3 linked regions of the Sus scrofa genome follow. Each later gene encodes a partner of the first gene's protein in a complex. Links are inferred from orthologs where the notes say so. Each region holds a gene or a part of one and is shown on either strand. Other genes may lie near its edges.

What was found.
Region 2: SMARCA2 (region 1) and PHF10 share a complex: the UniProt entries of both Homo sapiens proteins name them as parts of the neural progenitors-specific chromatin remodeling complex. The link is inferred for Sus scrofa from reciprocal best matches to the Homo sapiens genes SMARCA2 and PHF10.
Region 3: SMARCA2 (region 1) and DPF1 share a complex: the UniProt entries of both Homo sapiens proteins name them as parts of the neuron-specific chromatin remodeling complex. The link is inferred for Sus scrofa from reciprocal best matches to the Homo sapiens genes SMARCA2 and DPF1.

The regions. Positions count from the first base shown.
Region 1 is NC_010443.5:219,809,696-219,818,166, reverse strand, and holds the start of SMARCA2 (probable global transcription activator SNF2L2), read left to right. Parts: upstream 1-2,745; 5' UTR 2,746-2,883; intron 2,884-3,524; exon of another isoform or gene 3,525-3,682; intron 3,683-4,355; exon of another isoform or gene 4,356-4,657; intron 4,658-4,789; exon of another isoform or gene 4,790-5,246; intron 5,247-8,471. UniProt on the Homo sapiens protein: ATPase involved in transcriptional activation and repression of select genes by chromatin remodeling (alteration of DNA-nucleosome topology).
Region 2 is NC_010443.5:564,409-572,222, forward strand, and holds part of PHF10 (PHD finger protein 10), read left to right. Parts: intron 1-785; coding exon 786-919; intron 920-1,008; coding exon 1,009-1,158; intron 1,159-1,655; coding exon 1,656-1,765; intron 1,766-3,290; coding exon 3,291-3,444; intron 3,445-6,072; coding exon 6,073-6,228; intron 6,229-7,814. UniProt on the Homo sapiens protein: Involved in transcription activity regulation by chromatin remodeling. Belongs to the neural progenitors-specific chromatin remodeling complex (npBAF complex) and is required for the proliferation of neural progenitors.
Region 3 is NC_010448.4:47,142,769-47,150,169, forward strand, and holds part of DPF1 (zinc finger protein neuro-d4), read right to left. Parts: intron 6,453-7,401; coding exon 6,292-6,452; intron 6,207-6,291; coding exon 6,099-6,206; intron 4,727-6,098; coding exon 4,599-4,726; intron 4,313-4,598; coding exon 4,223-4,312; intron 3,848-4,222; coding exon 3,769-3,847; intron 3,567-3,768; coding exon 3,435-3,566; intron 2,567-3,434; coding exon 2,516-2,566; intron 2,423-2,515; coding exon 2,303-2,422; intron 1,249-2,302; coding exon 1,136-1,248; intron 615-1,135; coding exon 503-614; intron 355-502; coding exon 284-354; 3' UTR 1-283. UniProt on the Homo sapiens protein: May have an important role in developing neurons by participating in regulation of cell survival, possibly as a neurospecific transcription factor. Belongs to the neuron-specific chromatin remodeling complex (nBAF complex).

The sequences.
Region 1 (8,471 bases):
AAAAGGAAAAGCTTCATGTGTATATAGCATCCTGTGCACCTCCCTGGAGTCTGTTTAGCCTCCTATTCTATTTGCTTTTGTGTGATTTTCTGCAAAACAAAAGAAACTCATCATGTTCCTCCTTAAAATCATTGTTAAATTTTGCTTTCCCTAGGAGATGAAGTTCACGCTATACATTCTACAGTCTTCTCAATCTTCTCTTCATATTGAGTGAATGGCACTGCCTTTCCATTTCTCCTGAGCATAAGCCTTATCTTATAGAATTCCTACTTGCTTCAGTGCAAGCTACAAACAACAAGATTCCTTGGAGGAAAGACCTGAAGGGAGATGGTGGTGCTTCCTTAGACCAACATGAAGGGAAAGGGAGATGCAATATCTATATTTAATGTCTTCTTCCAGTGATAGATTTTATTTTTCTATTCCCATATTTGTGCAGATAATGCATAGATACCAATCCCTCCAAGTACTGCATCAAAATTTTATATGAACTGAAGAATGTACACATGTAACAAAGGGAGCGTTTTCTTCTTTACTTTCCTTCTGACAAAATGCCAAAAGAAATGGCCAGTCTCTTGCTCAGATGATTGTTCTCATTTTGAAATTTGGCATGGCAGGTGAAGGTGGATTCTTAATGGGATAAAGGGCACTTATTCACAAGGAAATAAAGATGAAGTCATCAATTTCTGAAAAATTGGCATGTGAGGCTGGCTTGCCAGGGAAACAGATAAGCCACACCCCCTTCCATCCTGCCCAAATGAAAAGCTTATATTACCTAATGTATTAAGCTCTGTCACCATTAGGTTAAAACCATTTTATAGATGATTGGGTTATCTGGCTATATTATTAGTTGCAATTTATTAGCAGTTGGCTGTTGTAGTTTTACTACATTGCAAATTTTGTTTAAGATGTCTTGCCTGGTTAAGAGTTATACTGGCATATCCTCAGGCAGAAAAACAAGTTCTTACAATAGATTCTTCAGGGAATACTATATTCTATTTCTCTTAGATGGGTTATCTTTTGTTGTCCTGAGGTTCACTTTGGGAGAGACAGAAAATTATGAAGCTCAAGTTAACAAGCAAGTAGCAAAGCCTTAGAAGACTACAGGGTTCATGATCCTTGACACTCCTTGCCACTTGAAAATGGTGCCCTTGCAGACTCCTTCTACAGCAATGGACCAGCAACAGAAACAATTCTTGACATTTAATGACCACACGTAGCACATTGCAGCTGGTGTTCTATCCACAGCTTCTTGTCCTCAACTTAGCCAGTACATAGTTTTAAGCATCCTAGAACTGTATTTCAGACCCATAGCTCAAATAGTCAATTTTGCAACACTAAAATGGTCTTAAAACAGGATTTTACTCTGGGGGGAAAACTCTCAACCAGATAGTCACAGTGTACTTTGAATGACTAATTTAAGCCATTACATTACAAAATAAGGGATAAATCATAACACTACCATATAGGAACAGTTTTAATTTAAGAGTCAAGCGCCTACATTAATCTGAGTCTAAAATAATAGGTCCTTGATTTAAAATCTCCTAACATTCTTTCACACTTCATAAAACTAAAAATAAAATCGTCTCAGCAAACACTGACCTGTTAGTCCAGCCAAAGTACTGTATTTCAAGGAAAACTGGAGCAAGAGGTCTCAAAACTACTAAGTGCCAGCAGTTTACTGTTTGTAGGCTTAACTGGTCTTAAACGTGGCCTGGAGGCCAAGAGACTATGGACTGGAGAGAAAAAGAGATTTATTCCCCTTCTTAAATCAAAAGCAGATTCCATGCTTCAACTGCCCCCTAACTCGCCCGCCCTGCCCCCACGAGGTTGTTTTCACCTATTTTTGTATATATTTTACGCGAAGATGACAGGTGAGGAAAGGTTAAAGTGCTGTGTCTGGTCCACAAAGTAAACAGAGGGGTTAGGGCGGTGTTATTTATTTACAAGGCATTCAGCCTCTCAGCTGTTTTTCCCTTTTTGGCGTTTGGAAGCTAGCAGTCCTTTAGAAAAAAAAGACAGTTTTGGCAGGAATGTTCTTTGTGCCCGCCTTCCTTTTTACGGGAGAGAAAGGGAACAGATTTATAATTACAGCCTTGTGGCGGGGGGGCAAGAGAAAAAGTTTCGTGCGGGACATCGATGCCTCTTTTTTTTTTTTTTTTAAATGGCCAATACCTTGCCACAAGCAGCTTTGGTGCCACTCGGAACCGCCCGCCCACCCCACCCTGTCGCCCCCTCCCCTTCCCTCTGCAGGCTCGCTCAGGCAGGCGGAGGCGCAGTTAAATTCCAGCACCTTCTTTACATACCCCCAAACTACTACGAGCTATTACTACGGCTGCCCTCCCTTTCGCTGCCTCCTCCCCTTCCCAGCGTCCCGGGAGGAGCCTCGCAGCGGCCCTGGGAGAAGACTGTCAGCATGGGATAACGGGCGCCCAACTCCGTCAAGGCTCTGGGCTTTCCGCATCCTGCGCAGTTTCTCTGCTCAGGCGCAAACACAGCTCAGAGCCGGCGCCTTGCAAACCCACACGGATCCACGCATACAGTAGAGCTGTCTCGATCCACATTCTTGCACACCGCCCCCTCCGCTCCCCCCCCACCCCCCGAGCTCAGGGAGTCGCTGAGCGGGGCGAGTGACAGACGCGTCCCGCCAACCCGCGTCCGGGCGGGCAGGGAGGAGCGGCGCGAGGGGCCAACAGCGGCGCGTCTTCCGGCGCCCAAGGAGGCGGCGAGGGTGGGACACGGGGCGGAGCCGGAGTTTAGGAAGAGGAGGGGATGGCTGTCATCAATGAAGTCATATTCATAATCTAGTCCTCTCTCCCTCGGTTTCTGTACTCTGGGTGACTCAGAGAGGAAAGAGATTCAGCCAGCACACTCCTCGCGAGCAAGGTAAATATAACTTACAACTCCTTTCTCCTCTTTCCCCTCCCTCTGGCCTCCCGGCTGCAGACGCCGCATAAACCCCTCAGGCACCGCGCCGCCTTCGCCGGGGATCGTTCATTATTATCCTAATTATTATTTATTGTGCATGCACGGAGACCAAAACAAACAGGCGGGCCAACCGCCACAACAACAACAAAAAAAGCCCGCCTCCTCCCCGCGGGCCTCAGGTGGAATGCTCTAACAACAGCTCCCGGGCAGCGGTGGAAGGAACGGGAAAGTTTCAACCGAACCTTACTGTTCTGATAATAACAGTAATAATTATTACTTAAAGGAGGCAAGGGGAGGAAAATCCCACCAAAACACAGCCTTGACCCTAGGTAGGCAGTCAGCGATGCACTGCCAACTCAAGGTTGTAGCACACACATACACTCGGCAAGGTTGCAATCCCTCCATTCCCTTAAAAGCTGGGGTGGTGAGGGAGGAGGCAGGAGGATCGGGGGAATAGGATGGAAACGCGACAGTTCTTCCAGAGCAGTCCTCCCCGGAAGAGTTGGAAGGAGAGCAGGAGAGGAGGGCGAGAAGCCCGGGCTGCCGGCGGGGATCCAACGAACGCGGCTGACACCCGCTTCCTGGGGACTTGTTTAAAGGGCTCCGGCTGCGGAGACGCGAGAGGATCGCGGCGGGAGAAGCCGGAGCTGGCGCGCCAAAGCGGCGGCAGTCAACGCCGCGGGGCCGGTGCGTGCGGGATCTGAGGTGTCACCTCCACTTTGCGCGTTCCCTCGGGCGGGGATGGGGACGCTGACCGGTAGGCAGGCCTTTAGGCAAAAGGGCTGCTGGGGGGCTGTGTCTGGGGCACTACGGACGTCCTGGTACCTGGCGGCCGCGCGGGCTCGGGTGTTGAAGTTCGGGTGTCCGGCCGGGGCCGCACTGCTGGGAGGGAAGAGGCCGGATAGAAGGAGGTCGGAGGTGCCCGCCGGGCTCAGTTATCCGCCCTCTCCCTTCCCGGGTTTGTTTTCTTTTGCTTTGCGCCTTCCCCTAGCTTGAGCCGCGGGAACCGAGGGCGTGGGTCGCGGGTGATCATCCGGGTGCTAGGGGCGCGCTGGGGCCGGGGAGAGCCACGGTGACTGCGGGCCGGGGAGGCCATGATCCGGATAATCCTCTCTGCCTGACTGTCACAAACAGGACCCGCGCGCACCCGGCAGCGGCGGTGGCATTCGCCTGAGAAGGGGAAGGGCTGAGGGGTGGGGGGTGGATAGGGTGGCTGGCGAGGGCGGGAGGCGGGGAGACCGGGTGGGAGCCTCCTCCCAATGATGACACGCTCCCCTTCCTTCTCCTTCCTTGCTTTCGAGTTTGATTTATTCCCATCCCAACCTGGTTTACCCCTTCCTCCGCTCTCCCCCTCCATCTGGCCGTCTTCCCTCCTTCTGTTTGCGTTGCAAAACACGGCCATGCCATCTGCAAAGGTGTCGCGATGCACTTCCCCAAATAACCAGTCCTGCGCGCCAGCCCCTACTCGCCCTCCGTCTGCGGGCGCACACCAAGCAGGGCGCCCCGGGTGCCCCGCAGCAGGCCTTGCAGCCTGGCGCAGTTGCACCGCGCGGGGCGGGGTGCAACAGTGCGGGCTTAAGAGGGACACCAGCGTCTGACTCCCGGCACTCGGGTCGGTTTCCGGTACACGCGGGGAAATAGCCTCCTGCCTATGTCTGCGCGCTCGCCCCCGCCCCTGCCGCCTGGATTGCATTATTATTTTTATCCGGGTTGCAGTTTGCAGCGGATCCTGGTGAGCGCGGGGCTGGCCGGACTGCTAGGGGGGTGGGGGTGGCGGGGTGGAGGGAAGTTGGACGTGGATCAAGCTGGAAAAAAAAGTTTGGCAGGGAGGCTAAGTAGGGAGGGAGGGTGGGAGGGAGCAGCGAGCTCCCACAGCTCGCGTCTCCGCTCGGGGTCGGCTCGAGTGTGTCTGCGCGTGAGTGTGAGTGTGTGTTGTGCGCGCCGGGGCTAGTGCGTTGGGAGCAGTGGCGCGGGCAGCCGCTCCTGCCCGCGCCCTGCCCGGGAGCGGAGGAGGACAAGGCGAGGTTTGGTGGCGGGGGATGGTGGGGGTGGCGTGTGCGTGTGGCTGTGAGTGTGAGTGTGCGCGGGCGAGCGGCAGAGAATCAGGAAGTCACAGCAGCGAAGCGCACACAGACATGTTTGATCGCCGTGACATGACGCGCGCGAGGGAGGAAGCGGCAGCGGCAGTGGCGGCGGGGGCCGGGCGGCGGGCTCCGGCGCGGGCCTAGGAATCCGGCGGGGAGACCCGCTCCGGGCCGCCGGCCGCGCCGCCTCTGTAGGCTCGCAGAGCCCAGTGCCTCTTTTTGTTCCGCGTCCCCCAGGTAAGGAGCCTGCGCCGCCGCCGCCGGCCGAGTGTGGAGCTTTCCACCTCTTTCCCGGCGGCCCCCTCCAGTCTCCCGGCTCGCCTTTCCTGCAAAGTCAGGCAGGCTGGGGAAACCCAGTCCCTGCCCTCAGATCGATCGCTTGGAAAACTTTTCAGCGGGAGGTACAACAAGGGGAAGAAAAAGGCCGCACTGGCTGCTGTCCCTTGTCAGTCCTTTCTCCTCCCGGTCCAGAGTAGATTCGCGGCGCCCTGGGGCTGTTGCACATTCAAACTTCGGGCCTAAACGCGCTTGCAACTCTCGCAGGATTTACTCCAGGAATAAAATTAATATTCAAAATCGCCCACTTGATCCTGCCAGGCTTTGGGATTTTTTAAAAGCAGGAGACAGGTTGGGGGGTCGAGGGAAGTGGGGGTGTCGTGCAGAATCCATGCCTTCTTTAATGTCTGCAGCGGGTGTTATGTAATTTTAGTAGCACATGGGTGCAAAGCCCATACTGGGCTTCTTCCCTTCTTTGTTTATATAACTTCTGGGAGAGTTTTGCAAGGTTGTCGCCTCCACCCCCCTTCACCTGATGGAGGTTAGTGCTTGTGCTAAAGCAAAGCCACCTGGGTGAGTATTTTATGGAGAGGTGTCATCGGTATCTCCTGGTTATTTTGTAGATTGTGTTCCTAACTGTGTGTGATGTTAGAGCATAAGAAAGACTTCAAGGATACACGTTTGTCTACTGCATTGAGTGCTTATTTTTTTATTTTTTATTTTTTTACTGTCTCTGCATTACCAATAGCAGAGTTAAATTTTAAACTTCCATTTCAAAGGACTTTTTAATTTACACCTGGCTGTGCCATGCTTGTAGGAAGAGAATGCTCATAGGGACAGAAAGATTGTTGCATGTTGAGTGGAAGAAAATTCCTGTCTCATCATCTAGGTAAGACTCAGAAATCTCTGAGAGCTGTCCTAAAATAGAAACCATGCCTAGCAGTTGCTTGTGTATTCTTATATGTGCACATTGAAATGTTTCAGTAATATTTCCCCTCACTTATAGGGGGGACCACTACCCCAGGCTTGTTTGCCAACACTCCACTTGGTAGACTTCTAAGCCTATTTCTAGCACACTGGTGAAATGTTAAGAGGTGTGTCAGGTTTGAATCCTCCTCAGTGCATTGTTATGCAAATAGAGGCACACTTTCTCTTTTAGGAATCTAATTGCCCTTTTATTCTCTTGGACTTTTTTTTTTTTAATGCTCCCTGACAGCTCAAATACTTGCTACCAGAAAGAGAGGATTTGGAAATACCCATAAGGTACAAAAGGTATTTATTGATGTGACTTGAAGGAAAAAACCAACCTGTAGACAGCCTCCTCTCTTCCTTGTTGGGGGCCTTAGAGAGAAAACCCATCTTGAAGAACATTGTGAAATAAATTAGGAGTTTGTGGTATCAGAACCCTTAAAGAATTGGCAGAAGTGAGGAAATGCTCCCTTCAATGCAGCTTTTCTCTCCTGAGTGACACCAGTTACATCCCAGCTTTGGGACTAGCTGCACTGTGGTGTTTCACAGAAAATATTCACCGCAAGAGTGTGTTCAAAGCAGCCTTAGATCTTTTCTTTTGTTCGTTTTTTTTTAAAGTGGTTTTTGAGCATTTCTTGTCAAGTTTCTTAAAAAGTGCTTTGACCAACACCTGAGGCTTGGAATTGACCAGAAAAAAAAAAAAAAAAAGTAAGTGCCTCTGTGCCTGTTAATGTTTGGATTCTGTTTAAGCTATTTCTGACAGTAGAGAAAGTAACACTCTGACAAATAATTGTTTAAAACTTTTTTCTTTGATTAAGATAAGTTATTTTACAGATGAGCATAAAAGCACATCCCATGCTTTTCTAGAGATAATTGTAATATACCCCTTATATTACGGTAATATTTTGACATTTCATTTTAAAGGCTTATTATGTATTGCAACAAGACCATAAAAGAGAAGACTCATTTATTATAAAAGCTGCCATTCCCCAGTGTTTTCATGTTTTTTTTTTTCTTTTAGAAATCTTCCTTTGTAAACAAGGCCTTTGTCAAACTCTCCTAGGTCAGCAGCTTTTTGATACTCTAGAGAAATAATAAATCACTATTTAAGACATCTTGACATGGTGCCATGAGAACAACTGAATTATCACAAATATAATACCAAGGAGTGCTTCCCAGAACTATGTATTGAGACTGTGTTGGTAGAACCTGATTTAGCCACCAGAAGTTTTGATTTTCACTATTTGTGGTTATGATGATTTTAAGGGAAATCGTGGACAATTCATTGCTTAACATGAATGGCATTAGAAAACTCTGTATAAATGAGTCACGTTTCTTCTTTTGCAGTATTTTTTGGTGAATAGATGAGAAAGTTTCCCTAATGTTAAAAGCCATTTTGAGGAGCAACTTCTGATTTTTTTTTCTTGTCACTCTTTTCTGTTAAAAAATGATCATTTCAATTGCTCCTTTTTCTTAAATATGTTCTGAAGATTATTTTTGAACAACAGAGGAGACTGAATTTTCTGTCATCTTTGGAAGGGTTTGTTTATGGAACTTGAATCTCTAGTCAGTTAATAAAGTCATGGATCATTCCAGAAGTAGTTGGGAATAGAAAATATAGATGGTTGTTAAGTTATTTGGTAGAATATTTAGGGAGGCCTGGGATGTTTATTTTTTCTACTTAAAAAAGTCCTGACTTTATATTAACCATGGAGGATAGGAGACTAAAACTTAGTTCTGCCAGAGTCATTATGGAAGATAGAATATTTATTTGCCTAAGATATTTATCACCAAGTTAAATGGGTTCCTGCAACCTGGGTTTGGAGAACTTTACAAATGTATTACTGTTTATTATTACTTTTTTCATATTAATATAGCGCTTTTCCTTGAAAGTGTTTAGATATATTAGAGATTTTAAGTATTACAAGTTTTAAAGATACAATCAAAGATACTTGAATAATTACACTTTAGCAAGACATGTAATACTGCTGATGAAATTCAGGAGCTAAATAGCTGAATCTTTTGAGTGTTGGATATAAACATTAATTAATTTTAATTATGTGTGAAAAAGTAATTAATTCACTCATTTGGAATGATGCTTTAGATGTGTAATACAGGATTTTTGCCTGAAATATTGACATAAGTGGTGCCCTCTGGACTTCGTAATAGATTATGTAACTGAAGCCCACTCTGAATTGTGATTTCTTAGATATAAGG
Region 2 (7,814 bases), about 220 Mb from region 1:
AATGCGTGCCGTACTTTTTTAAAAGTATTGGTCCTGGAGTTTCCTGGTGGCTCAGCAGGTTAAGGATCTGGCCTTGTCACTGCTCTGTTACTCCTGTGGCACAGGTTCAGTCCCTGGCCTGGGAACTTCTGCAGGCCGCAGGTGCGGCCAAAAACAACAAAACCCCAAGAAACTGTTGGCCCTTAACTCTGATTATCTCCATGTTTTGTTTGTGATTTTCCTCTCATAAATATTTTAATGCAACTTTTTAATGTGAAACCGGGAGCGTTCATCTCAGCACTTGACGTAATCTGATGCGATGAATTTTGAAAATTGCCCGTGTGACTTAAGTGTGTGTGCTGATGCTTTTGGTGAAATTTGGAGTGACTCTGTAATATTTCTAGTAGATTGAATTTGAAAACTAAGATCTGCAATATATTGAAAAGTCCTTTGTGTTTCTCATCTGATATCCTATGTTAATTGCCAGCAGTTCGAGTGTCACATTATTTAGCAGTTGTTTCTAGGAAAGGGTTATAAACTTATATATGGGACATAGAATCTTAGAAAAATTTTTGATTGAAAATTGATTTTTTCTTGCCTTTGCAACTTTGGTAATCGATTTCTTTTTAATTGTTTGACTTTATGAGTGGTATTTTTAATTATTTTTGAATGTATTAAAATGTTTTGCTTTAATTTTGGAAAACCTCTAATATGTGGAGTAGTTTGAAGGAAAAGAATATTTTGAAAGCTGTGTTCACTTTGCCTTCAAAGGGCTTCTTCACCTTTTTTTTTTGGGTCTGAAATAGGTTTAACAGCACTGCGCAGTGATGAAGTAATTGATTTAATGATAAAAGAATATCCAGCCAAACACGCTGAATATTCTGTTATTCTACAAGAAAAAGAACGCCAGCGGATTACGGATCATTACAAGGAGTATTCGGTAGGTGTTGAGGGGGCCGGTGCCTGCGGTTTGGGGAAGTGCCAGGTTATAAGGGTACAGTCCCTTGCACTGTCGTGTTTTTATTTCAGCAAATGCAACAACAGAACACTCAGAAAGTTGAAGCCAGCAAAGTGCCCGAGTACATTAAGAAAGCTGCCAGGAAGGCCGCAGAGTTCAACAGCCACCTGAACCGGGAGCGGATGGAGGAGAGAAGAGCGTACTTCGACCTGCAGACGCACGTAGGCCCCGCTCGGCCGGCCGCCCGCCCGCTGTGTGGACGGCTCAGCGCCTCGCGCGGCGCTTTTGTGCCCGCGGGGCGTCCTGCTCCCTGGGGCTCGGGCTGTCACTTGCAGGCGCCCGTTGTCCCCGGTGCCCCCGTGGTGGGGGGGTGCCTCTGGCGTTCGGTGGACAGTCTCCTGAAGGAGACTAGGAGCCAGCTGGCCACGCGCGTGTCCGTGGGTGGACGCCAGCGTCCCTGTCCCCCCGGGAGGCTGGAAGGAGCAGTGGTTCTTTTCCTAGATGAGGACGTTGCAGGCTGAGGTCTAGGGTAGCAGGTCACCCTGCCGTTCCCTGGTGAGCAGACGGGTCACCGGTGCCACTGGGCGTGCCCCGCCCTCAGGCTCCAGCCCCGTGTGGCCCTGTGTCTAGCTTTTGGGGGAGGGAGGCAGCGGATTATTTTCGCGAGGCTTTGGTTCCTTGCGTGGCATCAGGCTCGCCCTTCTCTTCACGTTCACAGGTCATCCAGGTGCCTCAAGGGCAGTACAGGGTGTTACCGACGGAGCGGACCAAGGTCAGTTCCTACCCGGTGGCCCTCATCCCCGGACAGTTCCAGGAATATTACAAAAGGTAGGCGGTGGTGGCGGCCCTGCCCTGGGAGTTGCCGGGGGCTGCGAAGCCCTGTGTTTGCCACTCGGGTGGGGTGGGACGTGCGTCGGGAGCTTCCGCTTGTGCCTCTGTGGAGAGGAGTGCCTGTGTCAGAACCGGAACACCTGCCTGCCTGGGGGTGTGTCTGTGGGCAGGTGCCAGGGCTTCTCTAGACCTCCCACCTGAAAGGATGGCCCCCTGGCCCCGCAGCGCCTGTGTCACCTGGGAGCTTAGTGGGAAGGCGGACTGCCGGGCACAGCCCAGGCCTTCCCAGATGCGGACGCGAGCGAGGAGGGTGGCCACCTGGGGCTCCTGCTGCGTCACTGCCCTGGCCTGGCTGCTGCCTCCGCTCCCCGTCCCTCCCTCCCAGCCTGGATGGAACCGAAAACAGGGCTTCCGGCACCCCAGCTTTTGCTGCATGAGAAACCTTATGTTCTTTGGGATGGAGAATATTCTTTCGACAAGTATTGAAAGTAGACTCTAGGATAGTGCTTTTTGAAAGTCGGATTTAAATCATGGGCCAGCACTTTGTCTTGCTTTCTAGAGCTGTACCTGCAGCATGTGGAGGGTCCCAGGCTAGGAGTCTAATCGGAGCTGCAGCTGCCGGCCTCCACCACAGCCACAGCAACACAGGATCTGAGCTGCGTCTTCGACCCGCACCATGGCTCACGGCAGTGCCGATCCTTCACCCACTGAGCGAGGCCAGGGATCAGACTCAGATCCTCATGGGTACTGGTTGGGAGCTCCATGGGTTAGCCGATTTTGAATCTTTGGGGGCTGTGTAAATGATGGAGCGACGCGTCCATGGACCAGCGTCTTTGCCGTCTGGGGTGTCTTGGTTGAGGGAGATGCTGACCCGGTGTCCGTTCCTGACGGGGGTTCCCAGGATGCTGCCTCCTGGCCTGAGACGGAGCGCTGGTCCTATGGGGGTGGCACGGACATGGGCAGCGGCCCTGTGCCCGCCAGCTTGGGGAGGGGCTGCTGGTCCCTAGTTTCAGATAAAATAGATGGTTGAATTCGTGAGAATACATGCCTCATAAATTGGTTTACAGTGATTCGTCAGAGGATCTTGCCTCTTAAATGCCAGCACGCACCACGCGCTGCTGTGCTGTGCAGGTGCCCGAGCGGTTCACGCCCCTCTTCGCTCTGCAGGTCGACCGGGCAGAGGCCCTCGGGCAGCCTGGGTTTTGTGCCCGTTCCGTGCTGTCGCTGTCGCCGTCGCCGTCGGTCCTGGTTTGCTGATGTCTTTGAAGGGCCATGGGTGAAGGAGAGACGCGTTCGCTTCGGGCAACAGCAGTCAAATGTCTGCCTTACTTAGTCGGGTGGAAAACATTTTGACTTTATGTATGACTTGTCCAATGTGATAACCAAAATGAAACGTTTATTTCCTCCAGTCATTTTTCAAAAACATTTGGGGTTAATTGAAAAGATGAAGGTTATTTTCGTCGTTCAAAATCGGTCCACACGTTTTGAATAATAAAGGAAAACAAAGTCCTTTGAATTTCAGGTACTCTCCGGATGAGCTGCGCTATTTGCCATTAAACACAGCGCTTTACGAGCCCCCGCTGGATCCTGAGCTGCCGGCTCTCGATAGTGACGGTGACTCAGATGAAGCCGAGGATGGTCGGGCCGATGAGAGACGGAAGGACAAAGGCACTTCGGTAAGAACGTGTCTCTCAGGAGGAGGTGCTTCCTTCCCTTTGAATTTGGCTTTCCTGGAATGGCAAGCTGAAATAGCATCACCACGCTTGTTGTGAAAAAGGATCGCTGTGTATGATTTCCAGAAAGCGTCTTCCATCAGGGGAAGTTACTGTTATGGGTTGATACGGGCCAGCGGTGCGTGGCCTTTGGCGGGTTTTGTCCTGAAAGCTGCCCCTCCGTGGTCTTCACCAGTGGGTTGGGCAGGGCCCAGACACTTAACAGCCCCGTACTGATGTGCGGGTTGGGGGAGCACGTGAGCGGTGTTCCTGCTGCTTCAGCAACCGTCACTGGCCTCTTCTGGGAAAATGTTAAGGTTACCAGCGTTTTGTGCTGTTGGGTGTCTTGCATGAGTTTCTTTTTGTGGCAAGTGCAGCTGCAGAACAGTGGGGATGCCGGTGTGCCAGGTGGGACGGAAGGAAGGAGAACAAACGCGGTCGTTCAGGGTTGTGTTTTGTTTTCCCTTTCTTTTCAGGCCCCACTTCGGCTCGTGGAAGTTCCCGGGCTAGGGGTGGAGTCCGAGCTGCATCTGCGCCCTACACCACAGCCACAGCAACACCGGATCCTTAACCCACTGAGCAAGGCCAGGGATCGAACCTGAATCCTCACAGATGCTAGTTGGGTTCATAACCCACGGAGCCATGATGGGAACTCTGGGTTTTGTTTTTTTTTAGCTCGGCTGCAGCATGCGGAAGTTCCCAGGCCAGGGGTCGAACCCAAGCCACAGCAGTGACAACGCTGGGTCCTTAACCTGCTGGCCACCAGGGAATTCTGCATCTGTCCATTTCCCACTTTCTCTGCAGCCAACCTGAACCTGAGAATGTGCCACCGTTTCTGGGCACTGAGTTTCCTCCTAACGGCCAGCTTCTGGGCGTGTTTAACGGTACCTGTTGCGTAACGTAACCTGCGCCTCCGCTGTCAAAGCGGTGAGAGCCCGTCTTCTGCTGTTTGGCTCAGGGGAGCCGGGGTGTCCTGAGGGTGAGACGCGGTGGCTTCCTCCCATACCGCTAGGAGAAGAGCTGCCAAGCCAGTTTGGGGCCAGGCGTTTTCCCGGTCCCTACCAAGATTTTTAACTTCCGCAGACCTTGACTTGGCAAATAGGCGAATGGATTTTATTTGAAGAATCTGATCAGATGGTAACAAAGTTTAATTAGGAAAAAATATTCATTGGAGTGTTAACAGTAGTTTCTGTAGTGGGAATTGGAAGTCTAACGTCTGTTACACAGTAGAAGTGCAGTTCAAAGAGTGTCTAATGGTGTGAGGAAGTGCACATAACACTTAGGGTTGAAACACACACACACATGCCCACACATACAGGGTAATTCACTTCTGTGCTTTAAAAGAAGAGGGCACGCATGGAGGTAGGTCGTGTGTGTGAGTGTGAACGTGGGTAGCTGTGTGAACAAGCACGTCACTGGAAAAGGAAAAGGCGACACATGCATCCTGTGAGCTGTCTCAGTGTCTCCCAAGCCGCCTGCGGATAACCTGACGTTTTCATTTATAATCTTCATAATTTATATGAACATAACATTTTTATTCTACTTAGAAGATTTTAAGTTAAGGAGTTTCCGTCATGGTGCAGTGGAAACGAATCCGACTGGGAACCTGGGAACCGTGAGGTCGAGGGTTCAATCCCTGGCCTCGCTGAGTGGGTTAAGGATCTGGCGTGGCTGTGGTGGAGGCCGGCAGCTGTAGCTCCGATCAGACCCCTGGCCTGGGAACTTCCATAGGCCTCAGGTGCAGCCCTAAAAAAAAAAAAAAGGGAATGTTAAATTAAGAAATGAAGAGTTAAATGATCAATCATCCAACTCCGAAACTCTGAACACGTGAAGTACGTCTGATACTGTTGTAAATACTTGGTGACACCGGCCCCCGCGGAGTTTAACGTTACCAAGACGCCCTTGTGGGCTTGAAGGACTTCTTTCGGGACCTCCATTACTTGGTAAAAACACCTGCACGTCCGTGGGGCAGTTTCTTAGTTTCTTTTTAAAGACCGTGTGTGAAACGAACATGTGCCCTGCTGTGCAGCTGGGTGGCGTGGCAGCAGCTGGAGCAGGTAGTTCTGTTCCTGGTGACTCAAGTCTGAAAACAAAGAGTTTTTCCCGTCTTTTTAGGGCCGCACCCGCGGCACACGGAGGTTCCCAGGCTAGGGGTGGAATCAGAGCTGCAGCCGCCGGCCTCCACCACAGCCACAGCAGCTCCAGATCCAAGCCACGTCTGCCACCTACACCACAGCTCATGACGGCCCCAGATCCTCCACCCACTGAGCGAGGCCGGGATCGAACCCGCAACCTCATCGGGTTCGCAGTCAGATTCGTTTCCGCTGCGCCCCGACGGGAACTCCCGAAAACAAAGTCGAATAAGGCACCTGCGGGTGTGCATAGACTTCGCTTTATGCTATGACGTATTGCTCCGAGGACAGTGGTGTTTAACTGGACTCGTTTTAGTCTCCGCTGGCGAACGTTTTCTTCGGTTAGAATTATCCTTTTATCTTTTAATCGACGGAAGCCCAGTGTCCTCTGTGGTGTCCGCAGTGGAGACCGGGACCAGCAGGTGTGCAAGGGACCTTTGTCTGTGCCTCTGACTTGCAGGACAGCTCCTCGGGCAACGTGTCCGAGGGCGAGGGCCTCCCCGACGGCCAGGAGGAGCCGGCACAGGGACGGCAGAGGCCCAGGGACAAGGCGGCCGCGCCGAGAAAAGACGCCGCGAAGCGCTCCGCGCCGAGCAAGGCTGCGCCCGGGTACAAGGTAGAAGAAAAAAGCCCCGACCCCGCCTCCCTGCTGGCCAGCCTGTCCCCCTGACGGCTCCGCGCCGAGCGTCCTGCGCCCGGCCCTCAGCCTCCTTCCTTCTCGCTTTGTGTGCCTGGTGGCTTTCCTATCACTTGGGCTGGGGTTGAGCGTCTCTTTTCTGTACGTGGACAATTTGTGAGCGAATCTTTTTTTCTTTTAAATGGTGACCAGGCAGGTCTGAGCTTTTGAGAAGTTATCTAACAGGCAGAACCTGAAGCTTTGTTGCCTTGGGGTGAAAGTCGTAGCCGTCTGAGTTGAAAGCACCCTGGTATTTAGCGAAGCTGAGCAGGTGGCGGGTGGGGAGCCCCCGACCAGCGGCCTGTCTGTGGCCGGCCGGGAAGAAAGATCTGGGCTTAGTCTAAGGATCATTTGCTCGTCTGCCAAATGCAGCCACCCTTGCGCTGCAGAGCAGTGGAAGTGCTGTGGGCATTGTGCTGTTTTAGCCCAAGCTGGGCATGTGGCCCGTCGGGACCCCGCCTGGGCTGCTCGGTGATGTGCTCCGATGTTCTCGTGAGCGTTTAGGGCTGGCTGTCCTCGGAGTCGGGTGGCGGGCGGCAGCAGTGTCATCCTGCCCGCAGAGGGCCGCGGGGAGGGAGTCGCCTTATTCGCAAGGGGGGCTTTAGAATATTGGAGAAGGAGGAGCGGCAGCTGCAGCGGCAGTAGGAAAACACACAGTTTTCCGTGGGCTGCGTATCAGCATGAACTCTCGGCTGGTTATGGAGGTGTTTTGAAGGCGCGTTTTAGAGTAAGGCGATGAACTCGTTTCGCCGAGTGGAGTTGCTGGAGCCCTGAGTGTGTCAGATGGGGACTCTGGTGTGTCATCTGGGGGAGCAGGTTCAGCGGCCACGGGCCCTTCCAGCAGCCTGGCCCCTTGCTCTCCCCGGAGCGAAAGGGCAGCTTCGGTCGGCGGGCTCCGAACTTCCCTAGAAAAGGCCTCCCCGGGGTCCGCTTCCGAGACGTGTGTTTCAGCCCATTGCAGCAATAAGGGCACCTTCAGGGCTTCAGTCATGTAGTTTTCATTCTTGTTCTTACAGATACAGCTTATCTAATTTTTAAGATAAATATTTAAGCTACTGCTTCGTAATTAAAAGCAAATGCACTCCAAAGATTAAACACCGGAAAGTGAGCCTGCTGTGTGCTAGGTGTGCTTCTGGCCCGAGAAGCGCCGAGAATGGGAGTTGCAGCCAGAAGCACACTGTTGGCGCCGAGCAGACCTTTCCGACAGGAAGCCTGGATTAATCATGGGTTAAAAAAAAGGGTTTTGCAATAGACGACTTCACGGAGGCTGAAAGTGAAGAACTAGTCAATGCTGTCACTGATTTAAGGTAAAGAAATCATATAGCTTAACCTAATTTGATATACTCAAGGGAGTCTGATATGCAAAGTGCACAGTTTATAATCTTCTCTGAACATTTTTAGTACCTAAAAATGTTTCATGTATTTCAAAGTTTGGAACAACCAGTATCTAGCTTAATACATTAATGTGAACATGTTTATTAAAAGTTAACCTCTTTATGAAAAGTATTAATAAGCCAAGATGTGCC
Region 3 (7,401 bases), on another chromosome or scaffold:
CCCGCCCAGAGGCGGGGTATGGCTTTGAGGGGAGCAGAAGCCCCTGGTGCCCATTTGCCAAGGGGTGGGGAAGGAGGGAGGAAGGAGAGGGCCCAGCTGGGCCCACCAACCCACAGGGCAAGCATTCCACTTGCACGGAGGGGAGGGGGTGGCCCCGCCCCCCTCAGGCTCGCCCGCCCCTCCCGCTGTGGGGCATTAAGGATGGGGAGAGAGTGGAGGAGCTCCGGGAGGAGACTCAGGTAGGCAAGCACCACCCCAGAGGTCCAGGTGAGCCAGAGCAGGCCTAGGTGAGGGTGATGTAGGCAGAGGCCTTCTCTTTCAGGTGCCGAAGACAGAGGTGACAACTCCAGCTCCCTGTAGGGTGGCCCGAGGACAGGGAGTAAGACCTGGGTCTGGGCACGGCTGCCCCCACCCCCGCCCACCACCGGCGGGCACCATCTTCCCCAGCAGGAAGTCCACCTGCCAACCCTCCCCCACCCCCCCAGGCCTCCTCTTCGCTCACCTTCTGGGGGCTCCGCCATGGGGGGACTCAGGCAGTACATGTGGTAACCCCGATCACAGTCGTCACAAAACAGCAGCTGGTCCTGGGGGGTGAGACCCGCCCAGCTGGCACCCTGGGGGCACGGGTACCAGAAACCGGGGTGGGGGGGCTGGGGCAGGGGACAGGTCAAAGGGGCTGGGGGAGGTGGTCCCTTCCAGGACAGAGGGCTCTGAGGAGGTCATCTTGGCAAAACCCTGTGAGTGAAACGCCCCTGAGGACTGTCAGTTTGCGGTTTGTCGTTTGGGTTTTCTAAGGTTCTATGGCACACTGAAAATGACACTGGGGCGGTCAGAAGCAATGGATGCGGTGTCAGGTCCCAGCTGTGCCATCTTCTTAGCCGGGTGACCTTGGGCAAGTCTGCTCCCCTCTCTGAGCTCCCTCCCTCTACCTCAGGGTGGTTGGGAGGAGTCGGAGAGTGAAGAGTAGTAAGTGCCAGGCTCAACTAATGGACACTAACTAATAATCATGGTACAGGTTACTGGGTTCACCAGGGAGGGGGCTTCAGGAAAGGCTTTAGACCCAACTGGCAAAGCCGGAGGTGCTGGAGGGAGGCGGCTCCGGGGGCGTGTCCCGGGGAGGGGGGTGGGCACTCACGTCGTTCTCGGAGGTGCCACACAGGCTGCAGGACTTGCACTCGATGCACTGCCAACGGTAGGTTCGCACGGCCGCCGTCATGTTCACCGTGAACTGTAAACACGAGGGGTGTCCTGGGGGCCGAGGGGCAGAGATGCGGTTAGGGGTCGTTGTGCCCCTGGTGGCTACTGACCCCTGGAAGTGAAATGGCTCAGCCCCTACCCCTGGCTCACAAGGCCCACAGGCTGACCCCACCCAGCCCCGGTGCCCAGTGCCCGTCCCTCAGGCAGTGCTGCCGTGGCCACCAGTCTCCTACCCAGCCACCATGGCAACCACACTCTGCTCCCCAGAACACCATGGCAACCGCATTCCATTACCCACAGTGCTGTGGCAACCCCTTTCCACCACCCACAACACCGGGGCAGCCACATTCTGTTAACCACTGCGCTGAGCAGCTGCATTCCATTACCCACAGCAGGATGGCCAGCCCGCCCTGTGAACCGCGGGCACGTGGCAACCCCAGCCTCCCAGCCACGATGCCATGGCAACCGCCTTCCACAGAGGGGTCTCCACGCTCTGGTTCCCTGCGACCCAAGCCCATTACACATGATGCCCCAACCACCACACCGTTACCCACGTGACTATGCAGTGGGCCAACCCCCTGGCCATCCCCCCACCCCCGTGCAGACACCCAGCCGCTACCCGGGGCCACGACAACTACCTTCCACTACACCCAATTGTCACAACTGTATTTCACTGCCCGTAATACCATAACAACCACGATTCATTGGCCACCGTGCTGAGGCAACCGCAGGCTACTGCCCACAGGTCCACCTCGGGAAACCGCTTTCTATTAACCACACCTCGGTGGCAAGCGCTCTCAGTCATCCACAACACCCAGGCAGTGGTAATCCATGACTTGCTATCGCAGCCCGCTCCCCACGAGGTTCTGGCCACCCTCTTTTACTGCTCCCCACGCCATGGTAAGCAGGTAGCAGTACTCGCAACGCCAGAACCACCACAGCCCCTTATTCCCAGAGCCTCCCCGAACCCACTGTTTCCCGTCATGCTCAGCAGTGATCCTCGGGGTCCCCCAGATGCTCTGCATCCCCCCCAGTCCTCACTCCTCCACCTCCTAGCCTCCAGATCTGGACCCTGGCCCCCAGAAGCCTCAGGTGGGGGCATCACCTGATCGCCCACAGTCGGCACAGGAGATGAGGTCCTCGGGACACCCCGTCTTCTTGGAGCCACCCAGGCAGAAGTCACAGTAGCCGTTGGGGATGACAGTGCCGTCAGGTGCCTTCTTGGCTGAAAGACAGCGGGCAGGGCTTGGCGTGGGCAAGGCAGGGGCATTCGGTCAAAGGCTGCTGCAAAAGTCGGGGCGGGGGGAAGCGTCCCTACCTGTGTGTTTCCTCTGTGCCTCGGGGACCCAGGCCAATTCTTTGTAAAACTCTGGGGGTGGGGGGGACAGAGAGAGGGGCTCTCACCATAGGCAAGGCTCCACCCTGCCCCCAGCCTCAGCCCCAGGGGCGGAGCCCTTGTCCAGGCATGGAGGGGGAGGGGAGAGGGAGTGGCTACCCCAAGCTGTGAACAAATAATTCTCATCAGGACCCCCCAACTCTTTGAGCACAACTGCTGCATCCTCTTTATTAGGTAAAAGCCTGGCAGATACAGCTTTAGGAAGAGCCCCCCACTTCCCCACGCACACACACTTCTACCAGACAGCCACCCCCAACAAAGCCCCAAAATAAAAATTAGGCAGATCCCACTGGCCAAGATCTCATATGGAAACAGGCATTTCAGGAGGAAAATTCTGCACACAGAGGTGGCTGGGTGTGTAGTGGGGATGAGATGAAGAGAGTGCCCTCTCCCGCCAAGGGATGGGTGGGAAGATGGTTTCTCCACTGGCACAGCCTCCCTGCTCCAAGCCTTCCCCCATCCCTCAGCTGTCAGGGTTGGCACCGGACTGGCATGGGCAGCCACCAAGAGTTCCCGGGCCACAGACCCTGCCCCTTGGCCCAGGCTTAGCAGAGAACGGAGAAAGGGAGGCAGGGACGGAGGGGAGTCATCTATCACCCCCCTCCCCAAGCTCTAATTGAAACAATAAATCAGACCCAGAAATATTACGCCCGGCCGGGAGCGAGGGAGAGATGGTTGGTTGTCATGGCAACCCCAGAGCCAGCATCCCCATGGTCGGTGGGGGGAGGGGACCGCTGAGCTGGGGCTTTTCCAGAAATGTCTAACGTGCCCCCTCCCTCCCGGGCTGCTAGCCCCCACTCGCAGGGCCCCTCACCACCCCACGCCCTGCCCGCCTGCTCACGTTTATGGTTGTTTTTCCGGTGGAAGGGCAGGGCGTGGCGTTCGGCGTTCTCCTCCCCCTCCTCCTCAGCCAGGTGGGTGTGGGTGTAGTGGTAGCTGAGCCCTGGCCGGTTCTTATACCGTTTCCCACAGACTGAAGAGTGAGCAGGGAGGGCCGGTCAGCCCCCTCCCAGCCCATGCCGCCTCCACCCTGGCCTCCGGGATCACATCTCCTCCCTCTGCCAGAGGCCTGTGCATCCCCCCCCACCAGGGTCCAGAACAGGAGGGAGGGGGCTGGGAGGGGCCAGGTCTCTGGGCCCCACTCTCTCTCTTCCCCCCTCTTCAGAAGGACTCACTATCACAGACATACGGCTTGTCTCGGTCCTCCAGGGAAGCGGTGTCCTGGCGTTTCCGGAGACCTCCGATGCCATATGCCTGGGGAAGAGTCTGGAGTGAGGGGCCAAGAAAAGGAGCAAACTAAAAGAATTTTCCTCATTTGGGCCGGAAATGCAAATCACAGCTCTGCCGCTACCTAACTGTGGGCCTTGAGTAACTCCCTTGACCTCGATCAGTCGTACAGGTATGAGGATAGTTCTAACCCACTGGGCAGTCTATATTTTGCAAATGGTTTCATAGATCCACGCCTCAATTTCCTCATCTGCAAAATGGGTATAAAAATCCCCTACCCCTTGAGGCTGCTCTGGGGATTAAATGAGATCAGACTGGGGCAGGGTCTGAACATTGTGCAGCCTCAATAAATGGGATCCGCGTTGAGGGGAGGGGTGAGGAGCAGAAACTTTGGGGTGATACCTTTCCTTTGGCCCTGTTCTTCCTCCTGGGAATGTCATCCTCCAAGTCTTCCACTTCGAGATCGTGTGGAAACTCCAGCAGCTGCTGTTTCTGGGCATCAGGAGAAGGGAGATTGGGGTTAAGAAAACGGGACACTGTTCTGCTTTGGGGGGATGGTTCTGCATAGAGGAGATTGGGGGTGGCAGGGCAAGTCAGAAGGTCTCCCAAAAAGAGATGAGGTGTGGAAGGATGGAGACTTAGGATGCCTGAAGGACCTAGGGAGCCAGTGGAGATCTCAGAGCAGGAATGGGATGGGCCGGGGCAGGAGGCAGGGGTGAGAAGGCAGCTGCGGCCACCGGGGTGGGGGCGCCGCCGGGGTGGGAGTTGGGGGGGCTACCTGACAGTCCATAATGGTCTCCTCCTCCTTCAGCTCTATCTTCTTCTCCCCCGTCTCAGCACACAGTAGAGCCTCAAGGACTGGTCCTTCCGGGAGACCACCCTCCTTCTTCAAGGGCGCCTCACAGTCTGGGGATGAGGCCATGGGGGTGGGGGTGGGGTCAAGTGGAGAGGTTGTCCCCAGAGGACTCCTCACACTGCCCAGGCTGGGGAGTCATGCTCTTTGCTGGTGGGAAGAGGCTTCCCACACTCCACTGGCAATAGACTCAGAGACTCAACCACATGCACTGGAAAGGGGACTGGACCCTGGGGAAGACACAGCCAGACCCTCAGAGCCGCTTGGGCACACTCAGCAGGAGATGTGGCCAGACCCTCTGATATACCTACATACGTATAGGAGACTCCACCCAGACCCCTACACCTGGAGAGAACAGACACCCAAACAGGACCCACGGGGACACACGCAAGGGAGCTCCACATGGATCATCTGCGACAGCCAGCCCCACAAGGGAAGAGACACACCCTGATGCTCAGATACACCTGGACCCATGGAGGAAAATATCCAGACCCTTGGGTCCACCCAGAGACACTCAGAAAGGGACCATTAGACCATCAGATATGCCCAGACCCACAAGAGGAAGACACAGCCAGACCCTAGCAAACACCTGAACATTCTTAGGGGAAACAGAGACACACCTAGAGAGAGTCACCAGGGTGGATACACACACATAGGACATAGAGACAGTCCCTCTGGGGCAGTCAGACACCGCCAGATAGACACTCCAATACACCTGGCCCCACACAGAACCCTGGATCTACTTGGACAAGGAAAGAGAAACAGCCAGTGATCTAATAGTAGGGGACACAGTCAAGAAGTGCTAAGGCCAGAGACTCAGGAGGCAGGCAGCCCATGTACACCTAGTGGATCAGATACTTGGGGAAGAGCTTCTCCCAGACCTTCCAAAGCATCTGGCACTGAAAGGAAGAGACAGTTGGACACCCTGATACACTGACTCTCAGGAACAGTTGGACCCTCAAACCAGACACACGCAAGAGGAAATAAACCTTCTAATACACTTAGAAACACCTGAAAAGAGACACAAATACTGAGATACACTCTACTACAAATGGACAGTTACGACCAAACACTCTCACACATCCAGACACATTCAGACATCCACAGAAAGAAATACAGCCCACAAGGAAGAGATACAAAGACTGGATACACCTGCACACACATGACAGATACCACTCTGTCCTAGAATAGGCTGGGGCCCAGTCAGGAGAAAGTACAGTCCAAAGTTCAGTCACTCAGGGAGAACCGGGGAAGCTCTGGACTACAGCCAGACACACACTGGCAGACACACAGCCAGCCACTCAGACACTTTGGGAGGGGAATAGAGGTGAACGCTCAGACAACATCAGCATCAGCACACACTTAGCAAGCGTGCTGTGGGCACTGATGGGAGCCACCCCGAGCACAGGACGAAGCTCCACCCACCGATCTTGTACTCGCAGGGCCGGAGTCTGGGGTCCTCCAGGATGTTGAGTCTCCGTTTCTTTCTCCAACAGCGGGCGGGGTACGTATAGATCTGCCCCGGGGCCAAACCTGGCGTGAGAAAGGCGGTAAGAACAAGGCCGCGCAGCCACCGCCCCGCCCCGCCCCGCCCCGCCCCCGCCCTCCCGGTGGGTACCCGGCCCGCGGTGGGTCTTCTCCATCCAGATGTAGCAGTTGTTCTGGGCCACGCCGGTCTGCGAGTCGAGGAAGGGCAGGCGCAGGCTGCGCTCGGCGCACAGACGCGCGTTGTAGCTGCGGCAGTGCTCGATGGCCTCCCGGTAGAAGTCCTCGCCTAGGCTGCGAGGGGCGGGTGAGCGGGCGGGCAGCTGTCAGCAAGGGCAGCCCACCAGGTCGCCCAGCACCCCTCCCCCACCCGCTCGTAGGGAATGGGTGGGCGGACTCCTCCAACCTCCCCTCTCCCCTCCTGTGGCTCCTGGACCCAGGAGCCCCCCAGCTGGGATTCAAGCAGGTCCCCAGCCAAGGAGTGGATACAAACACACACAATATAGAAACAGACAAAAATACACTGGGACCCATCCATACAGGCACATGTCCAAATACACAACACAAACGAATCACATAGAGTCACACGGGATTCACACACAAAGAAACACACATCCCAAGACTCACAAAGGAGAAACAGACACATCTCACATATGTGCACACACAAACATCTACTGAAAAACACAAATATCTCAAGTAGAGACAGATCACACACATACCCGTGCTCAAATATACATCACATATCTAAAGACACACAGCATGCAAACAGATCACACACCACACACACACTCACTCATGCATTCAAAGACACACTTAGATACACAAATGTTAAAAGAGAAAAAAACAGGAAAACAAACTACCCACATATGCATGTACACACATAGCCAAAGACACAAAACACACACACTATCCAGATACGCTATACAAAGAAATCACACATATTCACACAGGATACACACACATATTCACAAAGGCACACAGTACAGAAACCAACATCTCAAATATCACCTATTGGAGCACACAAAGATACATACATACACAGCATAGAAACAGACAAATCAACCCATCTTCACACAAAAACTTGCTCATAAATACATGCACACCTACATATCCAAAGACACAGAGCACAAATGATGCACAGTTTCAAAGAACAGGCACACACACTCAAAGACCCAAATATCTAAAGATACCTAGTGTGGAATAAAAGAAACTAAACACATATCCACACACATATCCAAAAAAC